Linked DNA regions of Oreochromis niloticus. The protein of the gene in region 2 purifies or fractionates together with the protein of the main gene of each other region. This does not show direct contact. Links are inferred from orthologs where the notes say so. Each region holds a gene or a part of one and is shown on either strand. Other genes may lie near its edges.

The links.
Region 1: the proteins of smurf1 (region 2) and smad6b purify together in Homo sapiens (affinity purification with western blotting; 4 studies listed by BioGRID). This does not show direct contact. The link is inferred for Oreochromis niloticus from reciprocal best matches to the Homo sapiens genes SMURF1 and SMAD6.
Region 3: the proteins of smurf1 (region 2) and tgfbr1b purify together in Homo sapiens (affinity purification with western blotting; 3 studies listed by BioGRID). This does not show direct contact. The link is inferred for Oreochromis niloticus from reciprocal best matches to the Homo sapiens genes SMURF1 and TGFBR1.
Region 4: the proteins of smurf1 (region 2) and stk38a purify together in Homo sapiens (affinity purification with western blotting; 3 studies listed by BioGRID, with this or other methods). This does not show direct contact. The link is inferred for Oreochromis niloticus from reciprocal best matches to the Homo sapiens genes SMURF1 and STK38.

What each region holds. Positions count from the first base shown.
Region 1 is NC_031972.2:51,546,187-51,553,889, reverse strand, and holds the start of smad6b (mothers against decapentaplegic homolog 6b), read left to right. Parts: upstream 1-4,703; 5' UTR 4,704-5,565; coding exon 5,566-6,355; intron 6,356-7,703. UniProt on the Homo sapiens protein: Transforming growth factor-beta superfamily receptors signaling occurs through the Smad family of intracellular mediators. SMAD6 is an inhibitory Smad (i-Smad) that negatively regulates signaling downstream of type I transforming growth factor-beta.
Region 2 is NC_031969.2:10,628,757-10,636,630, reverse strand, and holds the start of smurf1 (E3 ubiquitin-protein ligase SMURF1), read left to right. Parts: upstream 1-4,865; 5' UTR 4,866-5,095; coding exon 5,096-5,150; intron 5,151-7,874. UniProt on the Homo sapiens protein: E3 ubiquitin-protein ligase that acts as a negative regulator of BMP signaling pathway. Mediates ubiquitination and degradation of SMAD1 and SMAD5, 2 receptor-regulated SMADs specific for the BMP pathway.
Region 3 is NC_031974.2:34,527,552-34,534,985, forward strand, and holds the start of tgfbr1b (transforming growth factor, beta receptor 1 b precursor), read left to right. Parts: upstream 1-4,425; coding exon 4,426-4,489; intron 4,490-7,434. UniProt on the Homo sapiens protein: Transmembrane serine/threonine kinase forming with the TGF-beta type II serine/threonine kinase receptor, TGFBR2, the non-promiscuous receptor for the TGF-beta cytokines TGFB1, TGFB2 and TGFB3.
Region 4 is NC_031984.2:35,168,912-35,175,855, reverse strand, and holds the start of stk38a (serine/threonine-protein kinase 38), read left to right. Parts: upstream 1-3,943; 5' UTR 3,944-4,091; intron 4,092-4,123; exon of another isoform or gene 4,124-4,192; intron 4,193-6,944. UniProt on the Homo sapiens protein: Serine/threonine-protein kinase that acts as a negative regulator of MAP3K1/2 signaling. Converts MAP3K2 from its phosphorylated form to its non-phosphorylated form and inhibits autophosphorylation of MAP3K2.

The DNA.
Region 1 (7,703 bases), on a different chromosome or scaffold from region 2:
ATGCTTCAGTTGACAAATTTGTCTTGCATCAGATGCATCACTTGTATAATCTATCTTTCTGCCGTGTATGAGTCGCTTGCCCACTTTGTCTGAAATGCAGTCAGAGTTGAGCTGGTGTGACCACTGCAGTATTACCCAGGGGTCTCCAGGGGTGCATGGGACTGGGCCTTCACAGGGAGAGGGGAAGGCCAGGGGACAGGCCTGTGTGAACAGCTGTGCCCTGTTTTAGATCCTCGTACTCAGTTACCTCTTACTCTTTGAAGAAGTCTTCCCTTACACGCTTTCACACATGCAGCATGCATTAGTGGAGCAGGGCTCAGACACAACTGCACAATGAAAAGTTCAAATGCCAGAACTTTGATTTCTCAATTAAAGTAAGGTCCATGTTTGCTTGGGGTTTTTTTGCTGTTGTTTTGTTTTGTTTTTTGTAGCTTTAAGATAGCACTTTAAATAATCCGTTGTTTCAATAAAAAACAATTAATAAGGCATATTGCCTATGAATGTTTAAAAACATGAAACGCCACAGGTTGTTTCAGGCAGCATGTATCATACAGTCATTGTTCTACTGTAGCACTTTGCCATTATAAGAGGACATGCATATCGCAAGTGCTATTTTTAACAGCTGTTGTCTTGACGTTTCTGTGTCTATCTTTGAAACCTTGGAATAATCAAATGCACAACAAAAGTCACTTAAAAGAAAAAAGAAAAAACATCCGCTCTGCCTGATAATCACAGTTTCTCATGTAGGAACCTCTTACAGTCCATCGTGGAGCTGTAAATACCATTTTTGCATTGGCCTACTCTTGTTGGTATCACATTGGCATGATATGTGCTGCTATGAGCTTTTTCATTCTTAATACATGTTTAAGAAGAACTTCTCTTTGTTCCTTTTGAAATTAAATATGTCCTCCATACGTGAACTGAATTAAGTGTGCAGTTTGCAAACTGATTTTACTGGCATTGAAGTGTAAAACTACAAAGTTCAGGGGCATTTCAACCGACCAGTGTTTAAACAGATGGGCAGTCTAATTTATTAATGAAGAGTCACTGCTGGTAGCTTCCGATGTCTGCCATTGATCCAGAATTATACATTGACAAATGCATGATGATACTCAATGACTGCAAGAGTAAATGTCGGTGCATAAATAGAATAAAATAAACAGAAATGAAACAGCATTGATATATAATACACTTGAATAAAACAAATTGTCAAGTTGTTTTGAAATCATTACTGGCATTTCTTATTCCAAAAGTGTTCGCTGTCTTCTTTGGTGAACACAAAGTAAACAATTGTTTTCAAAAATGCATGCCGTCATATAAACAAATCATACAAATATATAAAAAACTGAAATCCACAAACTGGTTGCTTTGGTACGCATTTTTTAACACAAATACAAAAAATTATTTCAGCGTGAAAATCCAACCTCTGCCTTGATGATATCCCAGTGTCCTGTTGATTTAAAGATATTCACACAGGTTCATTAGTTAACTCGCTGTAACAGTGACCGAGTCAAGACCCTCTCCCAGGGTCACTGGATCATCGGTATGTAACTTACGCTGTACCAAATTTAAAGCATCTAATATGTCTGCATGCTCCTGATGCTTTCAGAGGTTTGCTTCACATGAATCTGTTCCAGCAGCGAGCATGGCAGAGCAGACAGCCTCACTGACTTATGAGCCAGCTGGGTCTTCTTTTGTCTTGACTGAAAATTGCATGATTCAAATGAAGCAGTACTCTGTAATAACAGTTTTCTTTTCCTTGTCTGACATGTGATTGAGTTACAAAAGGGAATGCATTTGCAACAGGTGCCTCTAACACAGTGCAGGCATGAGGGCCTCCACGTCTACCCTCAGTAACCTCCCCCTGCCCCAAAGCCCTGATCCTGCCAGGGAAATCTGATTCCAGTTCAGACACTGGCACAGTATGCTGCTGCAGCCAAAGCTTGGAGTCTCCACTGGAGCAACCCGGAGAGCTTCAGAGGTGTTCAAGTGAAAGCTGCATGTGTTTATTATGAAGTTTTTTTAAAAGTCAATGTGTCCATAGTTCCTGTTATAATACTGGAATAAAGAAACTCTTTATATAAGAGATACAGTTTTATATTTAAGCCTTAGATTACATATGTTCCATTCAAACATTACTAAGATAGTTATCAGGTTAAAGTACACTTAATATGAGTTAAAAATTTGTCTTGTTTAACATTTTAGCACATTACCAATGGTTGACTTGAGCATGGTATAATTTAATTTCCATGACAAGTTTAATATTGGGTTTAAACTTTAGTTACTAAGCTTTCTATTGCCAATCAGCAGTGTTTACTACTAAACTTTTAAGTCTTGAATTATGTTTTTTTTATTCTTGCAGCCTGTCTTGACAAGACAAGAAACTTGAGATTAGGAGGTGCCGAATCGTGGGGAGGTCAGTGCGTAAGGGTTCACCTGTTGTGTCTCCAGCCAATGTGAAGGCCACTGCCTCTACACATGTAATTTCTGTTTACTAAAACAAGCTGCTATAGCAGCTTTGCAAGTTCTAAAAAGCAGAGAGGGTTATCTAAAATAACTACGAAAACATATTAGTACGTGTTGCTTCACTAGTACATAAATAGCAAGGGTTTCTGAAACTGACATCCAAGCACCCACAGTATGGTATTGCAGTCCCATTTTCCCATACTGATACCAGTGTATAGTTCAAATGCTTAGTTAAAATATTGCAAAAGTGTTCCTATACTGTTTAGGAATTACACCATTTTACATGGTTTCAAAAGACTGTCAAAAGTAGCTGGACAATTTACCTACAAGCAGTTTCATAGACCAGTGAGGCCTGCACCCTCATTCTATGACACATTAAGCAGATAAAAAAATCTCAAGTTGATTCCAAGTGCTGAAACTGGAATTGGTAGCTTTTCACTGGAATTCTCAATATGAGGCCCAAAGAGATGCCAATGCAAGATAATGAGCTCTGAAAACTGAAATAAGTTCATCAGCGACTCAGAAAAATCTCTAGGAGTGTCCAAATCAACAATTTGGTAAGGTATTCAAAAGAATGCATGCAGTGTCCATCTCGGCTACACCGAAAACCTGTTGTTGTGTCCATGTTCTTGCTTAAGTAAAACAACTTCACAACATCTAACACATCTAAGGTGAGAACACTCTTGAGGAGTTGAGAGTATCACTGTCAAAGTCTACAATCAAGAGACAACTTCATAAATGGATATCCAGAGTTTTTACACCAAGGTGCAAACCACACTAAAGATCAAGAAGACTAGATCAGACTTAATTAGAAAACATCTAAAAGAGCCTGTACAGCTCTAAAATAAATCTTTGGACAGATGAAACCAAGATTAACTTGTACCAGAATGATGGGAAGAGAAGAGCGTGGAAAAGGAGATAAACAGATCGCGATGTGAAGCGTACCACATCATCTGTCAAACATGGTGAACCCATGTGAATTTATGGCTGTTAGCGGAAGTGAGTCACTCGTGTTTATGGATGATGAGACTGTTGATAGAAGTAGCAGAATGAATACTAACATTTCCAGGGCTATACTCTCTGCTCAGATTCAGTCAAAACTGATTGGACTACATTCCACAGACCAAGTAGATAATAACCCAAACCATACTGCAAATGCAATCCAAGAGTTTTTTGAGGCAAAGAAATGGGATACTCTTCAATGGCCAGTTCAGTCACCTGGTCTTTCTCATTTACTGGGGACAAAACTGAATGCATAAAGACCCACAATCAAGTCCTGGCAGAGCATCTCAAGACATGACACACAGCGTTTGGTGAGGTCCGTGGGTTCTAGACTTCAGGCATACTTAAAGACCAAAATATCCAAAAGTAAAGTTGTGTTGATCTGAACACCCAAAGCAGTCAGAAAACCAGCTAAGTGGCCCTGAGCCCAGTATAATGTGTAAGTTCTATATATAAGAATGTTTCTAACTTAATATAATTCTTACATATTTAAATACTTAAACTACGAGTTTAAATTGGGAGCATTTTGGTGCTTTGAATCAAAGCTAAAACTTCATGATGTGTGAATTTACTGTGATCAGCACTGCTTTTATTTTCACCCAGCAAGGCAATGCATGCGATGTCATCACAAAACTGCAGAAAAACTGTATTTTCAGTAAGAAAAAATTCCTAATGAGGTCAATGGGTCAAAGATTAGGTCTAATGCAAGATCGATCGTCCTGTCCGTCATCCTATGTAAATGCAATTGCAGGGTTTCCGTGTTCATGTAGTTTTATTATTTATTCATGCCTGTTTAGGTGAAGACAGACTGAAAGATGAGTGTCAGCATCATTATTTTTGTCTTATTTCTTTTATGCTATGTTGATGCTTTGTCTTCACTCTTCATAATCTCATAAACTTTATTAGATTATTTTCTAAAAATTTCTAGTTAAATTCCATGTTTGTGGCTCAATAAAAAAAAATGAAGTAGAAAACAAAATAAATAATGAAAATAATCAGACTTTTCAGCGGAGAAATAAAAGCACATATTGGTGCATATGAGCTTCTCAATTGTTTGTTTGTTTTCGCTTTCTGTAAAAACTTTACATACTAAGTGCAGTGGGTGTAAATAAGTTTTTGTAACTTTAACTTAAAAAGAGAGATGGGTGTTTCGCCTTTAAGAGTTAAGAAACTTGAAACCTTGTTTGCGCAACAATCAGTGCAGCTCAGCCGCCAAAGTGTCTAGACTAGCACATGATGGTAGTCAGCCAATGGCTCCACCGCTCTCCTCGGGGGCCCCGTGTATGTGTGTGTGTATGTGTGTGTGTGAGTGTGTGTGTGAGGAAGAGAGAGGAGGGGGGCTGAAAGAAAAAGAGCGAGAAACGGAGAAAGAACGGGACCTGGGCTGCAGTTTGGTTTAGATCTGAGCAGAGAAGCAGGAGCTCTACTCAGCCCCGGATCGATCGGCTTCGTAAAGCTCATTTCAGCACGCATGGACGTTTTGTTTGGATTTTAAAAAGAGAAGAAGTGCACTGACATCTCGAGAAGACGGCAAGGATCCTGACTTTGCGGTGCATTTACTTTGGATTAAAACGCATCGAAGTACCTCATGCTCTACGTGCCGGTGTAGAAAGTAGAACTGGGGTGGCTAAAAGTCGGGAACTGTTTGAGGCAGCGAGTTGTCGTCTTGCTTTGGAGGCTGTTGGCTTTGGATTATGTTATAGAATATATTACTATATGTTTTCATGTGTTCAGATTATTTTTTTATTTGCTTGTAAGAAAAAAAAGGCTGTAAACAGTCCATTCCACAGCGATCCTGGAGAATAAGCCACAGTTTCATAGTTTGTTTATTTACATTATAATCGGCTGAATTCATGCCTTTTGATCGGAATGGTGCAGTGCATTTGTTGCTCGGTTTTGCTGTTGTAGATGCAACCAAATCTCCTTAATTCTAATGTTGCGGTTTTGCCACCAATGCTCGTCACTTGGCTGTGCATGCACTGCACGGCATTTCAGCGTCATTAATGTTTTGCAACGACCGGAGAAGTGTCTTTAATATTAGGATATCCGTACAAGAGTAATAATAAAAAAAATCCTTATAGATTTTCAAGTTGTCGTATGTTCAGGACGAAACGCTCAGGTCTTGTGCGGCGACTCTGGAGAAGCCGTTTGATCCCAGATAAAGAAGGGGAAGATGGAATTGGCAAAACTGGTGAGGGCTGTAGGGACGATCTGTTCAGCTACAACCCAGAGAAAATTCCCAAAACGGAGTTCAGACCGATGACCCCTAGCGGGTCTCTTGTCGTGGACATAGGGGGTGTCTGCCCCGTGGAGAGCAGCGACTCGAGGGTCACGTCGGACCAGGATGGGGGTGCCGCGTGTGCCCAGGAGCAGGGCAGCCCCCGCTCGCTACAGGACAGCGAATGCAGGACGGTGACGTGCTGCTTATTTAAAGACCGGGACCACTCCGAGCTTAGGGGTGCAGAGACGGCTCAGGGCACCAGGGATCCGGGGTCGTGTCACTTCGGGCTGAGGAACCTTGGACCAGGAGACAGCGACTCTCCGGAGGCGCAGGAGGCGATGCCACGCACGGTATTAGAGCAAGAACTGAAATCAGCCACATACGCTCTTTTAAAACGGCTCAAGGAAAAAGCGCTGGATACCTTACTAGAAGCGGTGGAGTCCAGAGGAGGGATGCCGAGCGACTGTGTTATGATTTCACGGACAGAGCTGAGATTCGGCGGCCATGTGGCATCCCCACAGCTGCTTGTGTGTAAACTGTACCGCTGGTCTGACCTCCAGCACTCTGCCCAGCTCAAACCGCTCTGTGAGTGTAGGAGCTTTGGGGCCCCGGACAGTCCAACAGTATGCTGCAACCCCTATCACTACAGTCGACTCTGTGGGCCAGGTAAAAGAGTCTGCCACACAAACTGCATGCATGTTGTACCACAAAGGCCTGCAATGTAGCTTAAATGACAACAAAGCACTAAGCATTTGGGCATCTGCACTTGTTTTGCATGAAAAAGATTCCTCAAAGTTGTCTCTGTATTTTCACTTTGACACATCTTTACTGCAGAATATTGCGTCTTTTCTTTAAATGCAACAATTTCATATAACTTTCAAACATTTTCCATTTGATTTAAAGGCAGATCGTGCTAGAGTTACAAGGCAGAAACCAGCATTATTTAGGGGTGGGGAGTAAAGGGCCTTGGAAATTTTTCTGTCACACTGCTTTATTTGTCCTGTGTTGTTTGGCTTGGTTTCATACCCTGTGATAGAGAAAGGTTGACCATTTGATTAAACAGTTAATGATTACCGAAGCCATCTTTACTGCAAGGTGAGCAATAATAATAAGTGCGAGCAAAGGGACATGCATGAAGATTTGACAAAGCATAAATGTGGGGCAGATTACTTAGATGATACCTTGGGTAATTTTATTATATTTGTTCAGAGCGTGTGTTGAAAACAAGCCAGGATTTGCACACATTTTTCAGCGGTTTATTGTGCCTGTCAGTTTTGACCCAGAAAGTCGAATTTGAACAGCTCTGTGTTGTTGCAGAGCTCACTTCAGTGGCCTGTGACATCAAGTTTCCAATAAAGGGGAGTTTGTTTGTTTGTTCCGCTGTTCATGTATACAGCACTGTGTGTACTGTGTAGTGTGTCTGAGCAAGTCGGTGCCTTCAGAGTGATTGCCAGTACCTCTGTTTTGACTTTTTGTGTATGACATGTATGTGGCTGTTTAGAGTTACTCAGAGGTACAGCCTCGCTGCTGTATGTCACTTTAAGTGGCGTGTGCTGGAGATTAAGCTTTATTTCCACAATCAATCAGTTATCTATGGCAGAACCTCCCTGACCTCTATTAAACAGATTAGATTTTGGCAGTGGACGGGGTCTACGATTTGAAAAACCTTAAACGCAGGGCCACTCGACCCCGCTGACCCAGTGACAACGCCTGGTATCATGTGTAAAGATGCAAGCGTTAGTATTTCTGTCCCTTCACTGGCACAGGAGGAGGATTTTCCATAACATCCATGTTTACTAGAGCCAGCTGGCTGTGACAAGCACTTCAAAGTCACAAGTTTAACAATATCAGAATTCATATTGAGCAAATGAGGGAAACTGATGTGGATTTTGGCTCTGGTGTCCTAACACGCTGTCCAAATCGATCAGAACCGATTATATGTAACCTCAAGTGTGCTGACAAACCTTGCTGTTTATTGGTTTGAATAAGATCAGTTTGATAGACAAGAGTGTGA
Region 2 (7,874 bases):
ATGACAAATGGCACATTAATCGGTTCGGGGCTGGACTCTCCTACTGCCTGTCAAGTTCGAGAAAGATTGCCTAATGTATCTTTTAGTTACAGTTAAATGCTTCTTCTGATCGAAGGTCGACGTGTTGCCATGACCACCTGGTTTCACGAAACGTGAAAAGCCTTGCAATTTAGCATCACCAAGGTCTTTAGATTCCACTCTTCGAAGACCATGTCAATGTGATGAAATCCCTAGGAGGAGTTCGTTAAAGTATGAGGCCTGAAAACATCTCTCAATTTCAGACACGTAGATGAAACATAGGGCAGGGCTGGTCTTCTGAAATTTTGTAGGGGGTGCTGTGGAGCTATTTTGCAATATTCCATGAAAACAACCATATAACAAGAAAGCCTTCCTCACGTTGGAGGTGTGTTTCAAAATTCAAGAGTTTTCGAGCTTTCCAAGCCCCTCAAAAGCTACTTTCTGTTTCATGGCGAATCGCCTTGCCACCAGGGTGCGCCAGTCAATAAACTCACAATTTTAACACTGAAGCACGATGAGGGACAGATGTTAATCCAACTCCAGATGCTTTTCTTTCCAAGTTCCACCAATGTCCACTGCTTTCACGGTGGATGGGCTCAACCTTTGAGGAGCAGTGCACCAAAGTATAAGACATGACATTTCCTGTTCCCAATAGGTGGCGCTCTGACTATTCCTGACAATGGGCATAGCAATCTGTTCTGGGTGGGAGTGTTATCATGCCTGTGAACTTTGTTAGCGATCGGACTGAATTTCTTTTAGTTATAGCAATTTTGTTCTTCATGGCGAAACATCGAATTTCGCTAATCCGCCGGGGTTTGACGAAAACTCACAGTTTTCAGTGTAACCCAAGACCAACTCCTTAAGGCTTTTACTGGACAATTGTGAGGTTGCTGGGGCCACCCACCTCTATACTGTACCCCAAAGTGTAAAACATGACATTTCCCATTCCCACTAGGTGGCGCTGTTGCTGATGTCAAATATAGCACATCTTCAGGGGCGGAGCCTTATTATATGTGAGATGTCTGGAGGAGATCGCAAAAAGTATGTGGAAATCAGACGCTTGCTGAAAACATCTCAAAACAAGTGGAGCACTGTGAGTATGACGGTTAAACTTCTCACGTCAATAAGCCCGGGCTAAACTAGGCTAACTTTGTTATAGGTAGTTTAGTGCTCTTCATTATGGGGCGACGTTTGTAAACTGAATCATGCTGAAATTAATGGCAACATTTTTCCACATTTAGCTCAAAACCTTACAAAAACATGTTTTTTCGAGTCATTTTTTACAGAGTGCCTTATCTGAGACTTTAACATGCTTATGGCGGAGTGTAACAACTCTGGAAGAGCAGTGCACGGTCTGGACAGAGGGACCTTCCTAAGCATGCTGCACAGGATCTTTGGGCTGACTGATGACAGGATCACGGGTAGAGGTATTCAGTTTACAGTTATTTATATTTATTTATTTATTTACAACCCAAGTTCCAAAAAAGGTGTGACGTTGTGTGAAATGTAAATAAAGGCAGCATGCAATGATCATTTTGAATTTGCATAAACTGTAGATGCAATTTTTTTTTGTAGATTGGCAAACCTCGACCCATCTTTACTTCTGAGGAACTCCGTTTCTCAACGATGCTGTTTTGGTTTTTTTTCAATATATATCCAGTCATGTATCCAGTCATCCTCTGTTGGTAAAACCCTATGTTGACTTTTGTTAGTGACCTACTGCCAATTAACCTAAAGTTGCAAAATGTTTCTCTGTTTCTTTTTTAGTACCACTTACTTTTGCACCCTACTGTTGCCTTCTCAGCTGTCTTGAGATATGTTGGTGCCATCAAATTCAAACTATTAGGAGACGTGAGTCGTCGACCCAGAGTTTTGAGTTTTGTATTGTACTTTGAGTTCTGCCTTCTAGTTTCTGATCTGTGTTCCTTAGTTGCTTTTTCTCCCCTGTCTGCTGTATCCCCTCGTCAAGTCCGCGTTTCTGTGTTATGTTTCCTGTTTTAGTTTGAAGGTAAAGTTGCATTTCAGTTCACCTTTTTACTCCGTGTGTCTGCACACAGCCTCCACATGACAGAAGATCGCATCCAGAACATGGACCTAGCAGACCGTGAGCTGTATGAGCGTCGGGAGGCAGCCTTTGGCCAGCTGGAGGAGCTCCGCTGGAAGCCCTGGCGTGCTCCTGACTATGATCGTATCGTCTATGGTACTCGTGTACTTAAGCCCTGTGTTTTTCTTTGGTCTTTGGTCCTCCACATGACACAAACAGAGCTAATATTGTTTTTGAAATAGTAAAATGTCAATAAAATGGTGGCAAGTAAACTAAATCTCCAAATTATCAACAACAATTCAACAATTTCTTCAGTACGAACAATTAAAATCTAAAATTAAATCCAAGACATGTTGTGAGTGTAACTGTCTGTCATTCAGTCTTCACTACATAAGACAAAGACGGCGTTGTCGGCATGGAAGAGTGGATTGAGGGACTGTCTGTTTTTCTTCAAGGGACCTTGGATGAAAAAATTAAATGTAACTCCTCAATCATACTTTTTTTACTTAAGCTCACTCTCACACCTTCACATATGTAACTTATCTGCCTAAAAAAAAATTCCTGTGTTTGGCTGACATGGTAGTTTTTTCTGTCCTCTTTCTGTTCCTTTTCTCTCACTTTGCAATAATAAAATGAGACACAAAAAAGTCTTAACAGATGAAAAAAAATACAGCTGAAAATAAGTATTCTTCAGAACTCGAGTGCAAAAATCCACATCATTTAAAAATGATTGTGAAAATGTACAAAGAAACAATGAAAAGATGTAAAGTGACTAGTTGTGTGTGTGTGATTATCTTAACTTGGGTTTGCTTGGACTAAGGTGGAACTAAGTTGTTGTTCATTGGAGTGGTGGATTTTGAGAGACAAAATCTAACCTATAGATATAAAATTATACGGACTTAGCACACATGCAGCACACCACCATAGAAACTTTTCTCATCCATGTGTTGCTTTGCTGAGCCGAAACAAAACCAAATTATTCCGAAGGTTCTTCAGACTTTGCCAGTTAGGCATAATGAACGGAAGGAACTTTACAAAGTAGACCTCTGTGAACTCTTCGGCAGGATACTCGTCCAGGGGCCGGTACTCCTCTACAGCTCCATAGAGGGCACACAGCTGAATCAACTAAGTTATAACCCCAATTGCTGGGACCCCTTGGACCATCACGTAACGACTCTCTAAATTTATGGTGTAAACCTGCAAATAATGCAACACTTGACTGTGGTACAATGGTGCGAAAATGTTTGTGTGAAAACTGCAAATAGTGGCTATATTTATCGCCCATATCATACATTTTACAGTGGTGGCACATTTCTGTGGAGGCATTTTGGACTGTTTAACCCTTCTGAAACTTTTGAATGTTTTCCCAAAGTTTTGGGGATCATCAAGATGTGCTGTGGCGGATGTGAGACAAGGCTTTTTGTTCTTTGTGGTCAGCAGTGGTTTTCTCATTGGAACACTTCCATGGATGCCATTTATGCCCAGTCTCTTTCTTATTGTTTAATCATGAACTCTGACTGAGGCGAGTGAGGCCTGCAGTTCGTTAATGTTGTTCTGGGTTCAGTTGTGACCTCCTGGATGAGTCGTCGATGCACTGAATGTTGGTAGGCCAGCCACTCCTGGTAAGGTTCACCACTGTTACAAGTTCTTTTCCAATTCTGGTTAATGGCTCTCACTGTGGTTCACTGGAGTCCATAAAATCCAGAAGGGAGCAAATGCTTTTTAACAACAATGTAAGTGACGTTCCCCTGTAGCAGGGGGTGTCTCACACCTTAAGATACCCTCTTTTGGTCATATATTTCTAAACAGAAGCATCTTCTTACCTTAACTGCTTTGGCTGCTGGCCTGGCACACACAGACCATATCGATCGACTATGAGTTTGTTTGCTAACACACTTGGTGTTAGCTTGCTTGACGTGTTGAACACGAAAAAGAAAACTATGTGAAAATTGTGTTTAGTAATCCTGTTTAATCCATAGCTGTCACTTTTAAAAAAGCAAAAAAAATGCTTTTTACACCACCCCTTGAAGCTAATATCCCTGAACAAGGTGAGACAGCTTAGCTAACAAACCACCTAGCAGTATCGTTTCAGCAAAATTATTGAGTTTTGTTGAACTCAATAATTGTTGTTAAACGATTTTTAGCTAAATGTTGGCCCGTTCTGTGTGTTGTTCTATTTTTGTATTTTTTTAACAAAATGAATGCTGCTGTAAATTAAATGGCCCAGGTGTGTAGTTGACACTGACCAAATATGAAGCTGATCTGATCAAATCCCTAGGCGTTCGCAAAAGTATAACGCCTGGAAATGGCAAAATCGGCGCCAAAATCTCACATTCAATTCAAAATGGTGGACCTCCTGTTGGGTTTGCGTTGATGGGCCCAATTATTTTTTTCTTCGTCTTGGCATGTTACACGTGTGAGCCAAATTTCATTCATGTAGCTCAAACTATATGGTCATAGCACTTTATTTAACAACGCATAGGTGGCGCTCTAGAGCCATTTTGCACCGCCCATATGCGAAACTATTAAAATACCAAAAAATTTTTTTACCAGACCTGAAACGTGTGCAATATTTCTTTATTTTTTCTCTATTTTTTTGAATATGTTAAAGCCCTCAAAAAGCCACTTGTTTTGTCTGAATAATAATAAACGGAGCAATTCCAATAGGGTCTTCGTACTTTTAGTGCCCGGGCCCTAATTACTGAAGTAAAAACCAAAACAGAATGTCTAAAGACTTGAAAGAATCTGATCACCACGGGCACGCCCACGCTTCCCGGAGCGAGCACGTACTGTACAGACACTGAGAACAATACGTCAGTACGTGCTTGAGCCTGCCCGAAAATGTTCTCCCGTGTTGTCGGATTTCGAAGGAGCGCAAGACTTTGCGGTGAAATAATACATTTTTATCCGTGAGGAAACCAAAAGCAAACCGCATGTGTGGAAACTGAAGTTATTCGCAGTTCCATTACTTGGTGAAACTGTGATATTGGCTGGCTCGAACGGGAAGTTTGTGTGATCGTTTTTCCCGGAGTGATGTCGAATCCTGGGAGTCGGAGGAACGGGTCCAGCATCAAAATCCGACTGACAGGTAAAAGCGAGAGCGAAAGAAAGAGCTTACTGTGCACGTTTAAACCGGAACTCAGTGTTTGCTCGGTAACGTGTTGATTTTAGCAAACCTAACGAGACGACGCGAAGTGTCTTTGAGCCTCTCGAGTCTGCTGTTCGCCCAAACATCCGGTTTTTGTGTGGCAAACACCAGTCGAGTGCTAGCTCGTTAGCTTAGATGCTAAGTAAATTACCGAGAGGACAGCCAAGGAGCTGTTCACTGTCCTGTGAGTTTTGCAGCTGAGACAGGCGACTAGTCCACTGGTCTTGGTGAATGCCGACGCTTGAAAGCCACGTTCAAAAACTTTATCAACCACTAACAGTGGCTTCTTAGCCTGCTAGCTAATAGTAACATTGTGGTTAATGTTGACCGCTAGCGCTTGCTAGCTACACCCTTTTTTGGGGGTGCTGACCACCAGCCGAAACCTCCGCTTCAGCCGAATGCGGCGAGCTCTGTAACGCGGGGGGGAGAGCAAATGTCGAGCGGCAGCCTGTATGAAAATTGATCTCCCGCTAGATTTGACATCCTAGTCCGGATTACCAATGAGTATCGATTGGCATTTCGCTGCTGTGTCAGCTGTAGCTGCACAAATGTCGGACTCGTTGAACTTGTCCCCACTGAAGGAAGTGCAGCATGTTTGTTCTTCAGGGGTCATTAATTCAACCGAATTGAAATATTTTTTATTTTATTTTTCAGTTTGTGGGTCGGAGTCTGCCCTGTAGGTCATATAGAAGTTTCCTCCTCCGCTCCACATACAGTCACAGCTGGAACAAAGGTTCCTACTGTTGATAATGTAACCCCACTGGGCATCCAGGGGCCTCTATTCAAATGGAAATGACCCATCTGAGCCACTGAGCAGACGCCTTGTCCCTCTGAGTCAAAAATGAGCAATAACACACACTAAAATTTGCTTTCCGTCAGACTAAATATTTCTTTGTGTGGTTTTCATGGAGCATTGCAGCAGTGTACTGCAAAGGTATGATTGTGATGGATGTCTTTTAAAGCAAATGCCTGTCAGCACTGATGAGGTGAAGTGCTGGCTGAAAATGCTCCCCACATGCTGTTTACTTACTGACTATTCCTCTAAGAGTGGATTTCAAGAAATAAGGACGGGAATCAGACTAACAGATCCAGCACACTTCGTCACTTATCCCACTGTTTATACATTTCAGTTTGAGGTTATCTGCGCTTGACGTTATCACCGAGTCTCACTTAGCCACGTAGATCTGCAAAAGAACAGTTCACCACTTCTTTTGTTTGAAATAATAACAAAGGACTGATGTCACTCTTAACATTCAAGAGTGACACTGATGTCACTCTTGACATTCAAGAGTGACATCAGTGATCAAAATAGATTATATCATTGTATCTACTGTAAGCGGGTATTTTATATACTACTAAGATTGGTAGATTAACTGATAACAAATCATTTTAGTCAAAATCAGTTAAAACACTGCAGTCATCTGGGATTATAATAGATCGTGTCCTCTTATGGTAAAGTTTACTGTAAGCGACTCTGGTAAAATAAGCTCTACAGGAAGTATGTTATCATAAAGTGTTTCATCAGATGAGTTAAGACGAAAGCAAGCAAAGAAGGTATGTGTGTGTATACTAGTCAACCATTTTTCAACTTGTATGCAACCAGAGGTTATTGCCCCTGACTGTGCCCCGCCTCCACAGGTATGAGTGGAATTCTAATTGGGTAAGGAATGTGCAATGAGCCAATGGGAGTGCAATGCTGCCAGGCTGGCCAGCTCTGTTTAGTCTGCCAGAAAGAGTTGGTTGTCCCCCCCCCCTCTCAACATCAGTATATCTGAAAAGCATGCACGTGTGTTTGTGCAATAGGGACATAAGCATGTTTGACACTGGGTCAGATCTGAGAGACTTTGTTGTGTTTACAAGTGATTATTGTGTCTTCCTGTCTTCGTTATCTTTTTCTTAAGCTTAGGTATTGCTTTGAATAACATGGAAGAACAAAGGAAGTCAAATACTTAGTTTAGTTTTTTTTTCCTTTTCATTATTTTGAAACTTGTGTAATGCGGTATAGACATTAGTTTAGGAAGCAAAAGGATACTGGTTGAATTCCAGCCAGAGACACATGAATCCCTGGGGTTGCATTATGTTGGGCATCTGGCATAAAACTCTACCAAATCAACCTAGTGCATCCACTGCTTGTGAGAAGGGAACAGTCAGAAGTAGCTTCTGTATTGAAACCAATGTAACCAAATTATTTATGTCGTACACAGTGTTAAATATTTTGAAAAAAGCACCATATGTTTGATCATATGCTTATTTTGTGAGTTTTGATACCAAAAACTTGCAACTGTAGTAATATTTTTTTTTTTTAAAAACACACTACAGCTAGCTGTTTTTGTTTATCTCTGGTTTTTGAGCGTGTGAAACATAACATTTGAATGCAAAAATACGGTCAAGGCAAGATGCAGAACATAAGTAGGTCAAAAATAGTGGAGAAAAGGGTGTTTTTGTTTGTAAGTGAATGGCGTTTTATTGTGGAAAATGCCATGAAAGGAATTAAAGAATCAGTCATTCAGTAGGATAAAGTTAGTGGACGCAACACGTAGAGCAGGGCGATATGACCAAAAATATTTATCACGATATACATTTGAAAATTTGCGATAACGATATAACTGACGATATAATTGATACTAGACAAAATACTTTACAACTCCACAACTTTATTAGTGC
Region 3 (7,434 bases), on a different chromosome or scaffold from region 2:
GACCAAAGCAGTCTTGAATAAGGAGGGAACGATACCGGTGGTGAGTGAAGAGTGGACGATAGCAGAGATGAGTGGGAGTAAGGAAGAGAGGCAGGATTTCACAAGCCCTGTGGGCACAGGGTCAAGATGACAAGTGGCAGGCTTTGATTTACATATAACCTCAGAAATATCAGATAAATCTGTAAGATGAAAAGTGGAAAATGGCTCAAAATAGAGAAAAGGTTCTGGAGAGGGCGTAGACACAACATTTGAACTGAGTTGCTGGTGAATGTTATTAATTTTTGTAGTCCACAACAGCATCAAGGAGTTACAGGTCTCAGAAGAATAGAAGTGTGGTGGTAAAGCGTTGGGGGGTTGAATTAGTTTGTTGAGAACCGAAAACAAAATCCTTGCGTTACCCTCATAAGAACTGATAATACCTGAGCAGAAACGTTATTCTGAAGTACATGGTATTTGTAGATTTCTGCATCAACATGTTGATGCAGTTAAACCAGATTTCTTCTATCCAATATACCATTTTGTGCACTGTTACTGTGGTGTGGTTCTTCCTTATTGATGTTTATACCTTGGGCTCCTGACGATCCCAGATTCTCTGATATTGGCCTAGTGACAGTTTAGTTATTCTTATTAATAAACTGTAAGAAGGGTTACAAGTGCAACAGATGTTTTGTCAAAGTGTGTCTTCATTCTCATCTGAGCACCTACAAGCTCATTACAAACAAGTGTGGCATGGCACTTTGCAGTCACTCTTGGGCCATGGTACATCATTTCACCATAAACCGCCCATGATGAGGTGCTTCCCTTAAGTTTTCAAATAGAGGACTAAAAAGAATGATCAAAAAAGTTAAGCTAAGGAGCACGTGTGGAGAGCTCCAGACAGGGAGAGTATGGTCTGATCAGATCAGACCAAAGTTGATGCCATAGTACACACAACGTTCAAAAGGCACTGCATATCACCCCAAAACACCGCACCAACGACATCATGGTGTGGGGCTGTTTTTCAGCATGCGCCCTGGCACACTTTATATAACTAAAGGAATGATAAATAGAAAAATGTACCAAGACATTCTTGATAAAAATGTCTTGCCATCTACTAAGAGGATACAGACAAAATGAGGGTGGATGCTTCAGCAAGAAAATGGGCAGGAGCCTGTCTCAGACACAATAGGGTGATAGACAGGGTAGACCCCGGACAGGTCGCCAGTCTGTCGCATGGCTAACACAGAGAAACGAACAACTATTCACACACACATTCAAACCTGTGGGCAGTTTAGAATCCCCACTTAACCCCACTAACTGCGTGTCTTTGGAAGCGGGAGTACGTGGACATAACCCAGGCAAACACAGGGACAACATGCAACCTCCATACAGAGGTGACAGTGCTAACACCACCATGCTGTCCTACGTACATCACAGTAATCGTTAATATAAATCTATACAAATATAACTGCTCTTCTTCCCCTCCTGTCCTGTCTTTCTGATATCTTTCTCCATCGCTGAGTGAAGTTATCTCACACTCTTTTCTTTCCCTGGAAATCACCACAGCTGTAGCTTTAGCTAGCAACACGCTGTGCAGCAATGTGTTTTCTGTTTGTTGAATTTATAGAAACATTGAATTTGAAAGGACCTGCCACTTATAAAAACGTTACTTCCTTTATGCTCTGTCCTGTTCAGTAGCACTAGCTCGATGCTAAAGTACCACGACCACAGTTTATGGATTGTAATTCCTACACATTACATTGTCCTTTATAGTTAAAATCCTTGAATTGACGCTCGAAGTCTGGATTGAATCACCACTTGAATGTCAGACCATCACAGTTGTTATGTAGATGTATGATTTAAAAACCTTTCAAAAAATTGTTTGTCATTGTCCAAAAGTTTATGGACCTAGCTGTACCAGCAGAGATGGGCAGTAACGCGTTACCGTAATCCAATTACTTTTTCCAAGTAATGTAAGGGGTTACTGTTGCAAAAAAGTAATTACATTACAGTTCTGTTCAGTTACAGTTACAGTCATTACAGTTCAGTCTTACAGTTACATTCCTGTACGCACGCTGTGTTACTGCGTTACTAAACTGAAAGTGTTTCATGACAATGACATACAAACGTGCAGCGCCTGTGGCAGCAACAGATGTGTGCAGATCAACAATGGAGTGATGGAGAGAGTACGACCATGCAGCGTTTAAAGCGTGGAATTACTCGCATTACTTTAAGTTTTAGTCCGTAAAAAGTGACCAAAACATTACCGTCCGCTGTGCACTCTGCGTGGGAAGCAAACTTCTTTTTACAGCGAAAAATTAAACTTCAAATCTGAGTGAGCACTGAGCACGCTGCCACGGGAATGTGACATTCACAGAGAAACCCCCGGATCCTCCCACTGACATGACTGCTGTGGGCAAACCTCCACCCACCCCACTCCTGCTAAACAGGTGACAATAGATTTAAGAGCGACAGGACTCAAAGCTGCTGAATCTTTGATTTTATTTATTCTTTGCTGTGTTTTACTTGCATCTATTTGAAAGAGTGAGTGTAAACACAAAACATTATTTTATTTCATATGCTGGAACATGCAGACAATAAGTTTAAATGTTAAACAAATTTCTTTAAGTCAAAGACTGTTGCATATAATTAAATTTTTGTTTGATACAACGTGCATGAAGTCAAAAGATTAAAATGCATCAAAAAGTTTTAAAAAGAGACTTTTTCATTTGATTACGTTTTATATGATTTATTATGCAGAAAAAATAGAATTGTGCTGAAAGGTCTATTGCTTTATTACATATTCAGGTTGTGTATCATGTTCAAGTAATAAAGTAACTAATTACTTTTTGAAAATAAGTAATCAGTAAAGTAACAGGATTACTTTCTTGGAGAAGTAATGAACAATTAGTAACTTATTACTATTTTCAAGTAACTTGACCAACACTGTGTACCAGTAGCAGTCCGTTTATCATTTACTTCAGTTTTCTTTGATTTGTTTTTTAAGTTTTGCCATATTTGATTTTAATAGTAAAAAACAATTTTTTTTTTTTTACAAAATTGATGGAATAGCAACAAATGCCATCTTTTCTGACATAAAACTGTTTGTCAATAATGTCACATTTTGAAGTCCATAATGGCATTTCCTGTCTGCTTCTCCAGATGTAAGCACCAATCAAAGAAAAAACACTCTCAACTCTGTGAAGCTGACCAGTTTCTCTTTGCTGTCATACTAGATGTTTTGTATGTAATCAAATTTTCTACATATTTTGCAGATACTGTAGGTTGGATGTGTTTTGAAATTCCGATTAAATTTTTTAAAATTAATTGTGTCTGCTGTTTTTATACTACTACTACTACTAATAATAATAATAAACTTTACCCAGGAAACTATAACCTTTGATAAGCATTAAGCTGCAATTTTGACTGCAGCTGTTGAAGCTATGGCTGCGTTGCTGGGGCCAGCACTCAGCTTTATTATGTATGCTGTCTTCATTGCTCTGTTATCAGCAGCTGTTTGTAGCCTGGACATAGTTTTACTTTACCGTGTTCTTATTGCTCATTCTGGTAACTACAAACAAGTTATTTAGGAGCTGTTAAAGCCATTTAGAAAGTCCAAGCAAATGATTAACAGCATATTTAGATGCACATTTATACATACACAGATTATGAAATGAGGGTTTATAGGTGTTATTTCATTTTGTAATTCATGGCTAATTCAGGTATTTACTAGTTGTTAATTAAGTATTTTTATGAAGTGAGTGAACCAACTGAGAGTTCAAAGCATTTACAAACCTTAAAATGCAAAAAAGCCTTCCCTATCTTCATAACAGAAGAAGCACAAAGGGATACAGGACATACAAATATTTGATGTGTGATGCAAACATAACTCACTATTTATAGAAAACAGAAATGTATGTCAGACCAGAACCTGAGTTTGCAGAAGGGTTTGAAAGAGAGAGACTACGGACTTACAGAGTATTTACTCTGTGGAACCAGCTTCCAGCTTGGATTCAGGAGACAGACACTATCTCTACTTTTAAGATTTGGCTTCAAACTTTCTTTTTTGCTAAAGCATATAGTTAGGGCATATATCATAGGGCATATATCATATATCACATATCCCCTGTGTAAGACTTATTATTCTATTCTCTAAGAATAGTTTGGTTTCTATTAGAAATATACGAACACGGTGTAGTACTGAAGTAATATGAATGTAACTAAATTATAACATTCTTTGTTAATGCAGTGAACACGGTTTGTTTACAGGCGCGTTACAGTTGCTCTAGTGGGCGGGGTGTCGCACGTTCCTTGGCCAATCAGCTCGCTCTGCTCCTGAGCAGGTCCTGGCCAGGCGGGCTCGTTGCTCCGTCAGCCTATCAGCGGCCGTCTTCTTCTGCGCAGGGAGAAGTTAGCAGTCGAGTGGCAGTCTGGTTCACAGCCACGATGGGTGCAGTACGGCTTTTTGTGGTCGTCCTTCTTTTTGGGACAAGGATACAAGAAAATAATGGTAAGTGGCCTGAAATGAACACAGTAGATGTGCGTTTGTTGGTGTTCTCGTGTATTTGTCGAAACTTGCACTCTTGGTTCGACTCGCTTCCCTTAGAAGTGCTCTTTGTTCAAGAACCCCCAAGAAGCGGGTTGTGTCTAACTAAAATGGCGTAGGGTCTGCGGCCAGTCTGCTGCTGTCTGCCTGATGAATGTTTATAGTCTGGGGGAAAAGGACAAAGGCAGCAACAAGTCACACGGCGCTGAGACGGTTCGGCGTGCTAAGCTCGTTTTTGGTCACCCGTTCCGATCCTGCTTTGGACCAGCACCGGACCGTCTGAAGGAACAGTCCGAGTGTGGCTGAGAGAAAGTTGGCCGCATCACGGATGGATGTTTGCTTTTTGTCAAACATTAATTGAAATTGGGAACAAACATTTTTCCTGCTGGGATTTATGTAAATATCTGTATTTACCATTTCTTATCTCAAACGCGTTGTTAGTGTTCTGGTCAGGACTCATCTTGAGGAGCATTAATAACCTTTGATCTCAGTCTGATAAATAATTCCGTTATTCTACGTTAATAAATGCTTAAAGAGTAACTTGCTGGTTGACTTCAGTAGTTTTCTGCCTGACGAGCAGACGCTAGCCTGTTAGCTTCTGTCAGACATTAGTTGAGCGCTGCTGTAACTTTGAAGAAGAAATTCATTTAAATAAATGCTGAAGTCGCTGCTGCGTAAATGCCAGAGCTGCATCGTTTCACTGCATGTTTGCAGCAGCGTAGTTGGCTACAGTAGAAGTGTTTAAGGAAACGCAGCTTTGAAGTAGCCAGCACGATTAGTGACGAGGGCAGGCGCGTGCACTGCTGCTCGCGCTCGCGAGTGTTGAGCCCCGATTTTTATTAGTTTTTCATTAAAAAAACATCGTGGTCGCTAAAACCAGCGCTGACTGTTACAGGTGAAGGCTTTTCTTAAAGGTACAAGCAGCCTTCACCTGCATTTTTATTTTTTGCGCTTCATTGTGTGACATTCCTTTGTGTATACAGAGAGGCTGGTGATGAGTGGGGAAGCGTGATTTCAGCTGGCATATACAAAGAGGTCATTAAAGCCCCCCCGTGGGGTCCTCATATACTCTGCTGCTGCTTCAGTTGCAGGCTGGATGTTACACTGATATGTTGGCTCAGGGATACAAACAAAGGGGAGGCACTTCTGCTCTTTGTTCAGCAGGAGGCTTGTCATGGTCCATGTTCGGAGCAACACCAGTCCTTCTTTCGTTTGTTATCCTCACATTAACAACAAGTCTGATTTTAATTGGACCACGAGTGGCTGTGTGCTACAGTTTAGACTGCATGAGAGCATCTTCACTGCCACCTCTGTGCCACGTTGCTGTTCAGCACCACACCCATGCAGCTCCCACTCCTGCTTCAGCAGCATCCGCACACAGCTGAGCACAGGCAGCAAGCTAAATTGGATGGTGTCACTAGCACTCATCATCCTCCCCCCTAACGGGCTGGAGGTGATGTTCTGTCACTCAGAAAAACCTTCTTCCCTCCCATCTTCCTCCTCCATTTTTAGCACAGTAAGAAATGAAAATCGTGAAATATTTTAAGATGTAGAAACCGATCACCTACAGAGTATTCCACGTACACACTACTACATGCAGAATTCAAAGTATATACATGTTTGCAAATGTTTAAATGCAGCAGATGAGCTGGAAATGATACACGAAGCAGTGTCATTCAAGAGCTGTTTTTTTTGTTTCCTAATGTTAAAGTGTTGCTAGAAGAGTGGACAGTGGGCACATACCTGGTTTGGAGAGTGAGGCATGTTACTGTGACAGTCTGTGTACCACATGCACACCACTATAGTGACACGATCTCTGTGAACCACCATGTTTGAAGGCTTGAGTTTGGCAGAAAATCGTAGCAAAACATGCAAAACCAGATATGACAAGAGGCGTCAAAGAATTGTTGTGAGCACTGCCAGCTGAAGCTAATGTGTCACATGTCCTCCACGCTCAGTGGAGTAGACGAGGGTGGGTGATGTTCAAGTAATTATTGAAAAGTGTTTTTCCTTAAAGCAGTGGCCACACTGTCAGATGGTTACACTGGGCAGAGTGGTAGGAAGCTAACTTTGAACAAACACAGCAACAAACATTAAGCTGAATGAGAGGAGAGCCTTTTCCCATAATGCTGTTTGATGAATCCTTCAATAACAGCCAGGACGGGCTGTTTGTTAGTGACCCAGTGGTCATGGGATTTTGTTCCACCAGTGGCAGCTCTGCTTCCTCTTTGATGGAGGGTTGAACAGATGTTTTTGTTAGAAACAGTAAAAATCGACACAGACGGTCAGTTGCTGTTTTTTGCGAATGGTTGTGTTGCTCATGCTTCACTGTTGGGTGTTTATACAACATGTTATTGTTGTGGAGGTTTTTCTGGGCACCGCGTTCTCCCACCGTCAGGACTAGCAGTGGAGGAATGCCAGGCATGTGGGTGACCCCAGACACCCGTTGTCCTTGCTTAAAGAACCACAACTAATTTGAGTGGTCGTAGCCACACGAGCAGCCGTTGGCAACAATGTGTTAATGAATAACCCTCGATCACTGACGGAGAGGCTGCTGTGTTTCTGAGTGAAAGCTTCAGTCTGGCTGAGGACGACGTCTAGTGTATGATGTCAGGGCTGAAGCTGCTGGTTATTGTAGTGATCGATTATTAATGAGTAATAAAAAGAGAAAATCACAGTATTTTTAACTGCACACATCTGTCAACAATAACCAAAGCGTCTGTTTGTATTTACTTTGCATACTAAAGTTTGATTTGTTTAAAGAAAACATTCTGTTAAATACAAAAATAAATAATCTCAAGTCCAGTCAAATAAAGTAAGCTCTACATGCAGTCTAAACAAAGTCATGAAACACAACAGACTCTGTCTCCTTGGAAGGCTTTCTTCTATTAATAGGAGCCAAAAGAGTT
Region 4 (6,944 bases), on a different chromosome or scaffold from region 2:
TTAATTTTAAATGGTAAATGGACTGATTCTTATATAGTGCTTTTCTATTCTCCCGGAGTAAAAAAAGCACCAGTTATACAGCACCAGTTTGTGTCACACACAACACCTCTGTGTGAGTATGACAGTATGATACCAACAACACTGGACCGCTAAACCTGTTTTCATTCTATCCTGTAGGTGAACACAAAGCCAGAAATTAATACTATACATTACTCTTACTACTGATAGTTATTTTTAGGTGTGCTGTGATGACATTTGGGGGCACTTCAGCACCCAAAGAAGGGTCTAAACTGGCCTATGCAGGACACCGACACTGTGGGGTAGAGTTGGGTTGGATGCCACATTGCTACATTGTTGCTGCCACATTAGAGGACACTGTTGACCTGACAGTCTGTCTGTGTTTTGGAGTGGTCAGTTTGTGGAAAATACAAAAGTTTGAGGAGAGGAAGTACTTTGTACTTTTTATGGACCAGGGTCATTTTTCATGTTGTTGTTTTTATATTAAAAGATAATACAATATTAGTAGATTTTTTTTTAAAGGAGAGTTATTAAAAGCTAAAGCCATGTGTTAGCTAGGTTCAAATGTTTATCAAGAGGGCATGGAAAGGCAGTGGGTTTTTGTTTCTTTATGTCTTGGCACAATAGTTTGTGTTGAAGCATAAACTGATCTCACAGAGATTGTACTCCTCTGACTTGTGTGACTTTGAGTGAGTTATAGAGTTACTGGATCAAGACTAGCAACCTTTAAATAGAGACCATAAGACGTTCCTTTCCTGGATGATTGAGCATCACGATTTAATATGGAGAGCAGTTCAGTTTAATATTAATGTTGTTCATCTTTATTCTCAATCTTGCAAAAAAGACGTAGGCAAATTCCATGGCTGTCCTTTGTAATGATATCAATGACACATCAGTTAGAAATACAAAAATTACAGCCATGGAATTTGGAATCTGTCCACAGTTGGGTTGTTTTGGCTTTAACAATAGCTACAGGATTATAGTACTGTAAATTCATTCCTTTCACTGCTCGTATGTAAAATATTTCATAGTATTTATCACTGCTTCAAATTCATGGGGGCATTAGGTGGTGTTCATTTTTAAACTTACTGACATCTCTATCTGAAAAAACATACATAAATAATTTTTTTAATGGTCAAAAGCTATACAAGACCCCAATTTTTCCAGATTTTTTTGGAAAATTATGAAGTTTGATGTCTCATTGCACTCTGAAATGAAAGAATAGTAAAAATAAGCAATTGGAGTTGTCCTGTGAGCCACCGATCACACAAGCTGTTAACTCTCAGAAACTTGTCCTCTGATTGTGTCTTTGGGTCTGCAGACCTCTTCTTGTCACAGTTTGTTTCTGAGCCTTTGGATGGTGAAGGAAACTGTAGTCTCTGACACCTTACAGTACAACACTGTTCAACTGATGCTGACGAGGGTTTGGTACCACAGTGTGTTCCAACACTGCTTTTATGCAGACAGAGGAGGTTGGACGTAATCCAGAAATGTTGGAACAGCAGTAGGAATTAGTAGCAGCAGCTTTCAAGGCTTGATCAATCTCCATTGTTGCAGAACAGATTAAATTGTTAACCCATGTTGTATCATTCTGAAATGTACGTTATTTTTCAGTTTTAGGTAACCTTGCCTTTTTTTAACCTCTGGCAGTTCACCACTTTTGTACCATATAAAGCTGTTCATTGGACTTGAACGACTTGAACTGCAATAAATAAGTGGAAAAACTGGGGTGTTCTAAAATTTTTGACCCTTACTATGTGTTTACGTGTGTATCCTTTCAAAAAATTATATTTTACTAAAACCCCATTATTATCTATGTAGGGGAAACATACCCATACAATGTATCAGACTGTTGTTGATGGTAATGGCTTTTAGTTCCAAGTAAATGCAAAAATGAAAACATTTCCCATTTGGAGGCAGCACCTTAAGCTCTGATTTAATAGAGAAATGTTTATTGAAAGGCGTATCAATTATCAGCAATTCATGCGTAGAAAGTGTAACAAGCCGTCTACCCTACCCTATGAATCTTTAATGATCCATTTACACTTGTGTGAAACTTTTCCCAGCATTACCAGCAATACATTATCCCAGGGCAGGACTGGGACAAAAAATCGGCCCGGGCATTTTGACTAGAGACCGGCCCACCAGGTATTATAGGAAAAGCCATAAAGCCTTTGAATGAAAACAAACGCTGTTGTGACAGTGATGTACCCTGTCTTTTGGTATATTTATGATTTCTATACATTTTACATCAGATGAAAACTTTGGTTTTAAGATTCAGATAATTATTTTTTTAAAAGCGAGACATTTTAAATGAGAGTAAGAAAGAAAAGTATTTCTTTGTGCCCCCCTTTCCCTGTTAATGCCCTACCTGGCCCCCTGGCAAAACTTTGCTAGACCCGCCCCTGCACAGTTACCAGCTGTCAGCTACATAGAAAAGCATCCTGGTGTTATTTGTCTCTCAGAAACAGTTCATAACTTCCCTTCAACTCATCCATGTCACCTAAAAGGTAAACCTGTTTCTCCATCACCTGTTCAGCTCTGATGATTCAGTAAGGACATCTCCTGGTTTCATCTGCATGTTTCCCTCTCACCACATATCCAAACCGACATCATGACCAGCAGCTTTACAGCTGTGGCTCCAGCAAACATCAGCTGACACTAGAAATTAATATTAAATAAATTCTAACAACAGCTGATCAAGCTTAAAGGTGCTGCTGTTGTTTAACGCGACATCCGCTGGTTTCCTCTTTCTGGCGCAAAGTGGGCGATAAACAAACAAGACAGAAAAGCCGATCAGCTGATCATTGATCAGTTTCATGATTGAAGTAGAAACAGGAGAGGGAGGGGGAGAGAATGAGAGAAGAAGAGGCAGCTGTGCAGCGTAAAGACAGAATAACTCCAGCTTTGTGTCTTTTCCATTCTAGCTGAAGTCCGGGACAAACTGTGTTCCTTTTCACCTCAATACGAAACGCGTAATATTTTCTCTGAATACCAGACGATTCTGTTTTTTACTGGACGGTTGGCAACTTTACTAACTAACCTCATGAATAAAATAAAGTTCACTATCAGTAACATCACAGCACCCACCCAGCTGTTTAGAAACTCCATCATGCTAGCTAGCACGCAGTACAAGTTATTGTAACTGACTGTAAAAAGTCAGTACAATGAAAATAAACTCCACCTAAACTTGGTTTATATCTGACCCGGATAGACTGCAGGTCATAACTTCTTACCTGAAGTTTAGTTCACCTGACACTCGGACCGGTGGCCGCCTCGGGTCTCTCCTCCTCCTGCCTACCCTTTCCCTCATCCACCTGCTGGCCTTTATGGTAGCTCCGCCATAGCCACCACCAAACAACTCAGTTATTTTTACACCAGCATTTGGCCAATCCACCACCTTTCATTGTTTATACCGTTACAAAAACAAAACAAAACAAAACAAAAAACCCATCGGCCCATAAAAACGAAAAATCACTATTGGCCCACTGGGCAAATGCCCGGTATGCCCGATGGCCAGTCCAGCTATGCATTATCCTAAAATTGGATCCTAAAGAGAAAACAGGGTGTGTTTAACTACCGGACAGAGCAAAAATAAATATTATTGCGAAACTTGAGGCAACTCATTTCTCTTTATGCAGAGAATAGCCTATATTTTATAGCTGTAACTTTATTGTTTGCTGAGTTTAAAGCTTTCTTGATTTCCTTTGAATGTGTATTATTATTTTAATATTCCTTTAAAACTATTATATTCTAAAAAGAGCTTTGTTACTGCTGTCAAATAATGTTGCTTTCTTACAGTACAGTGCATATTTGTTGTTAGCAGTAACGCCGTTGAGCTGTTTCTCGGTCGTCTTATGAAAATCAAATTATTAACATGTTGCCACATGTTTGAGTGAACGCTCAGTGTCATGTATGTGACGCGCAGTGGAGAAATCAACCGTCTTTCCTGTGCTGGCTCACGGAGGAGGGCATGATGCGCCGCTAGGTGTCCGCTGAGTTCAAACTGCTGGTGACGCAACGCTCATCGCAAAGCAGAGCAAGAGGCGACAGACACCGCACCTTCGACCAAGGTAAGCGAACAAAGAGTAACTCTAAAACGTGGAATTAAACGACGACAAGTCGCTGTGGTAGCTGCTTTCTTCTTTTCGCTGCCTTGTGAAACAAGTAACGCGTATGTGTTTTTGTTCCTTATTGTACTTGTAACAAACGACTAGGGCGCTTTGAGCAGATAAGTAGCTAACGTTAACTAGCTAACTTTCACTTAGCTGTTTGCTTTGGAGAACTTCAAGTCAAGTTGTAAAGCAGTGGGTACGAAGGCCGGTGTTTTCTGGTCAAGGCTTTAAAAAATAAAGACGCGTACGTTCAAAGCTGAGGCGAAACATTTCCTCGAAAAAAGGCCGTTTTATTTTGAAGGAAGTATTGGGTATCGCTTATGTTTTCCCTCGCTGGCTTTACGCTGGCAGGAACTTTAATAGCAAACTAGCTAGCTAACTAATGATAGCAAGTTAGTGTAGTAGAGTGAGATTAATGAAACTTTGTAAATTTAAAGTTCTAAACTTCAAGAGAACTGAGGAAGGATTGTGAGTGTTGGCTTAAGTTATCCTCTATCCGTAATTCTTGACTCTTTCGGCACTGCGTGCATCCGGAACTACGTGTTGTTGGCTCCTGTCGGGTTTCAATGCTATTTCTTGACCGTCGCGTTTTATTTATTTCCTCTTTTAATGTACTTATTTATCTGAGATCATAAAACTTTGAGCAGATGCAACTTGCGGAAAAAGGCAGAGGGTGTGGGCTTCAGTGAAACGTCCTAAACGTCTGACAAAACATGAAATGGGCTTTTCCTCTGTTTTTACCTCTTTTTTTTTCTCTCTAATTGTGTCACGTGTTGAATATTTAAACCATAGAATTTGTTTACTACACATAAAAACTAATTTACTCTCCCACACACCAAATATAACTAAAGTTACTAATGTTAGCTGTACAGGCTGCAGGGAAGCATGCTATTATGAGTCTACCATTATAAACTTAGTGAGATAATTCTTGGGGTTCTTTGGGATTAGTGGTGGTTTGGAGGTTGGAGATATCTGTGTGCTGATTTCCCACAGTGGAAGCCTGTGTGCTTTCCTAAACAAATTGTTAAACAGTCCGATGTGTAAGTTCCTTCTTTATACATGTTTGAATCCTTTGTCAAAAAGTATGTAACAATATAGTGTACAATTCATCGAGTAATTCGATTATAAAAGGTTTTGCTGCGCCACTCTGTAGCATGAGTGCTTCACCCACATGTGCGACTAAAAACAGACCAGCAACAGAAACGTACTTAGGGGCAGCGTGTGAATAAAAAGTATAACAACATTAAGCCCACACAGCCCCCAGTTATAAACAAAAAGACTGATAACACAGCAGCTGAAGTGAATAGGATGTTGTCACATGGAGCGTGCACACCATTAAGAGCAAAGAGGCTGAGCTGTTACTGAGACGCTGAGTGAGAAACATGTTTCCAGCAGCACTGGTCCTGTAATCACCAGGGATGGGGAAGAATTGAGCAGTTTCTTCTCCATTATAGATATCACTTATCAATTCTCATTGGCTCCACTTTGAGTCACCACCATGTCTAAGCAGCATATCAAAGACATCGTATTCATGCAAATTAATTACGTTTGTGCATGTTGGAGGTGTTCCCCTCTTTGTTGTGATCAGTGTTCCAGTCATTACTGAAATAAGTAATTAATGCACATATTACACAGAATACTTTCCTTGAAGGTAATGCAGTACGTTACTTAATTACACCTAGGATTCGTTACGTTACTTTCATGTTGAATGATGTGAAACACTGTCTGATAATTACCAATTAATAATATAAACCTGAGGCTACACCCCCACACACCAACACAAATCCCTGTCCTAATGAGGACACACCTGAGCTTTCTCTGAGCATTTAGGTATGAAAACAGAGCTGATGACACAAATCAAATATAAGACACTTTAAAGTGATCACCACAGAGATTCTACTGTAGGAACGTGAACAGGTAGAACAGAAGCTGCAGCCTGGCTGTTCATCAGTTTGTTACCTGTTGATGTTCAGCTGTGGCTCACTTTATCATGGTGCTGGTCTGGGGTCAGCATTTACTCAGCTTTAACATCACTCTGGGCTCTTGGCTAGCTTAGCGTTAGCATGCTTGCTGTGCAGGTGCTTTCAAAGAGCCAAAGTTGTGTTAACAGTATGAGGCAGTTGTTTCTGTCCTCCACTTTACCATTGCGCTCTCATCCTTTTGTGCAATAAAGCTAATGTCCATATCCAAACTGAAATCAGCTGATCGTAGTGAGAGTGCAAGAATTGACAGGCAGGCAGAATAATGATTCGATATATTATTGTGTCCTGAATGTTAGGCAGCTATCTGCCACCAGATGGCACATTGTTGTTGAGAAACACCATGAATCTGTAAATCTAGGCGTAATCTTTTTGTTAACAATATTAGAATTAAATTGCGGATACAAATTGGCTTTGTCCGAAAGGTGGTTGAGCTCTCCCTTAGATAAAGAATTCAGTCATTTGGGAGCTGCTACTCCTCCACATTGAAAGGACACAGCTAAAGCTGTCGCCTCCTCGGTAAAGTATTTAGACCAAGCATGTCCTACTTGGAGGAGGCCGCAGCGTAGACCTGGGACACACTGGGAAGCTTATATCGATTGGCTGGCCTGGGAACGCCTCGATGTTTCTCCCGATAAGTTGAAGGAGGTAGCAGAGGGAGATTTGGGCTTCCCTGCTGCAGGCCCTGCAACCCGACGTCAGATAGGCGGATGATTTATTATTTTAGATTTCAGCTTTTAATTCAGTGGCTGTCATGAACATTCAAACAGTGTGCACAGCACTAAGCACCACACGTCACAGTTTATTCGTTTTTCAGACGTCATATTTTAGT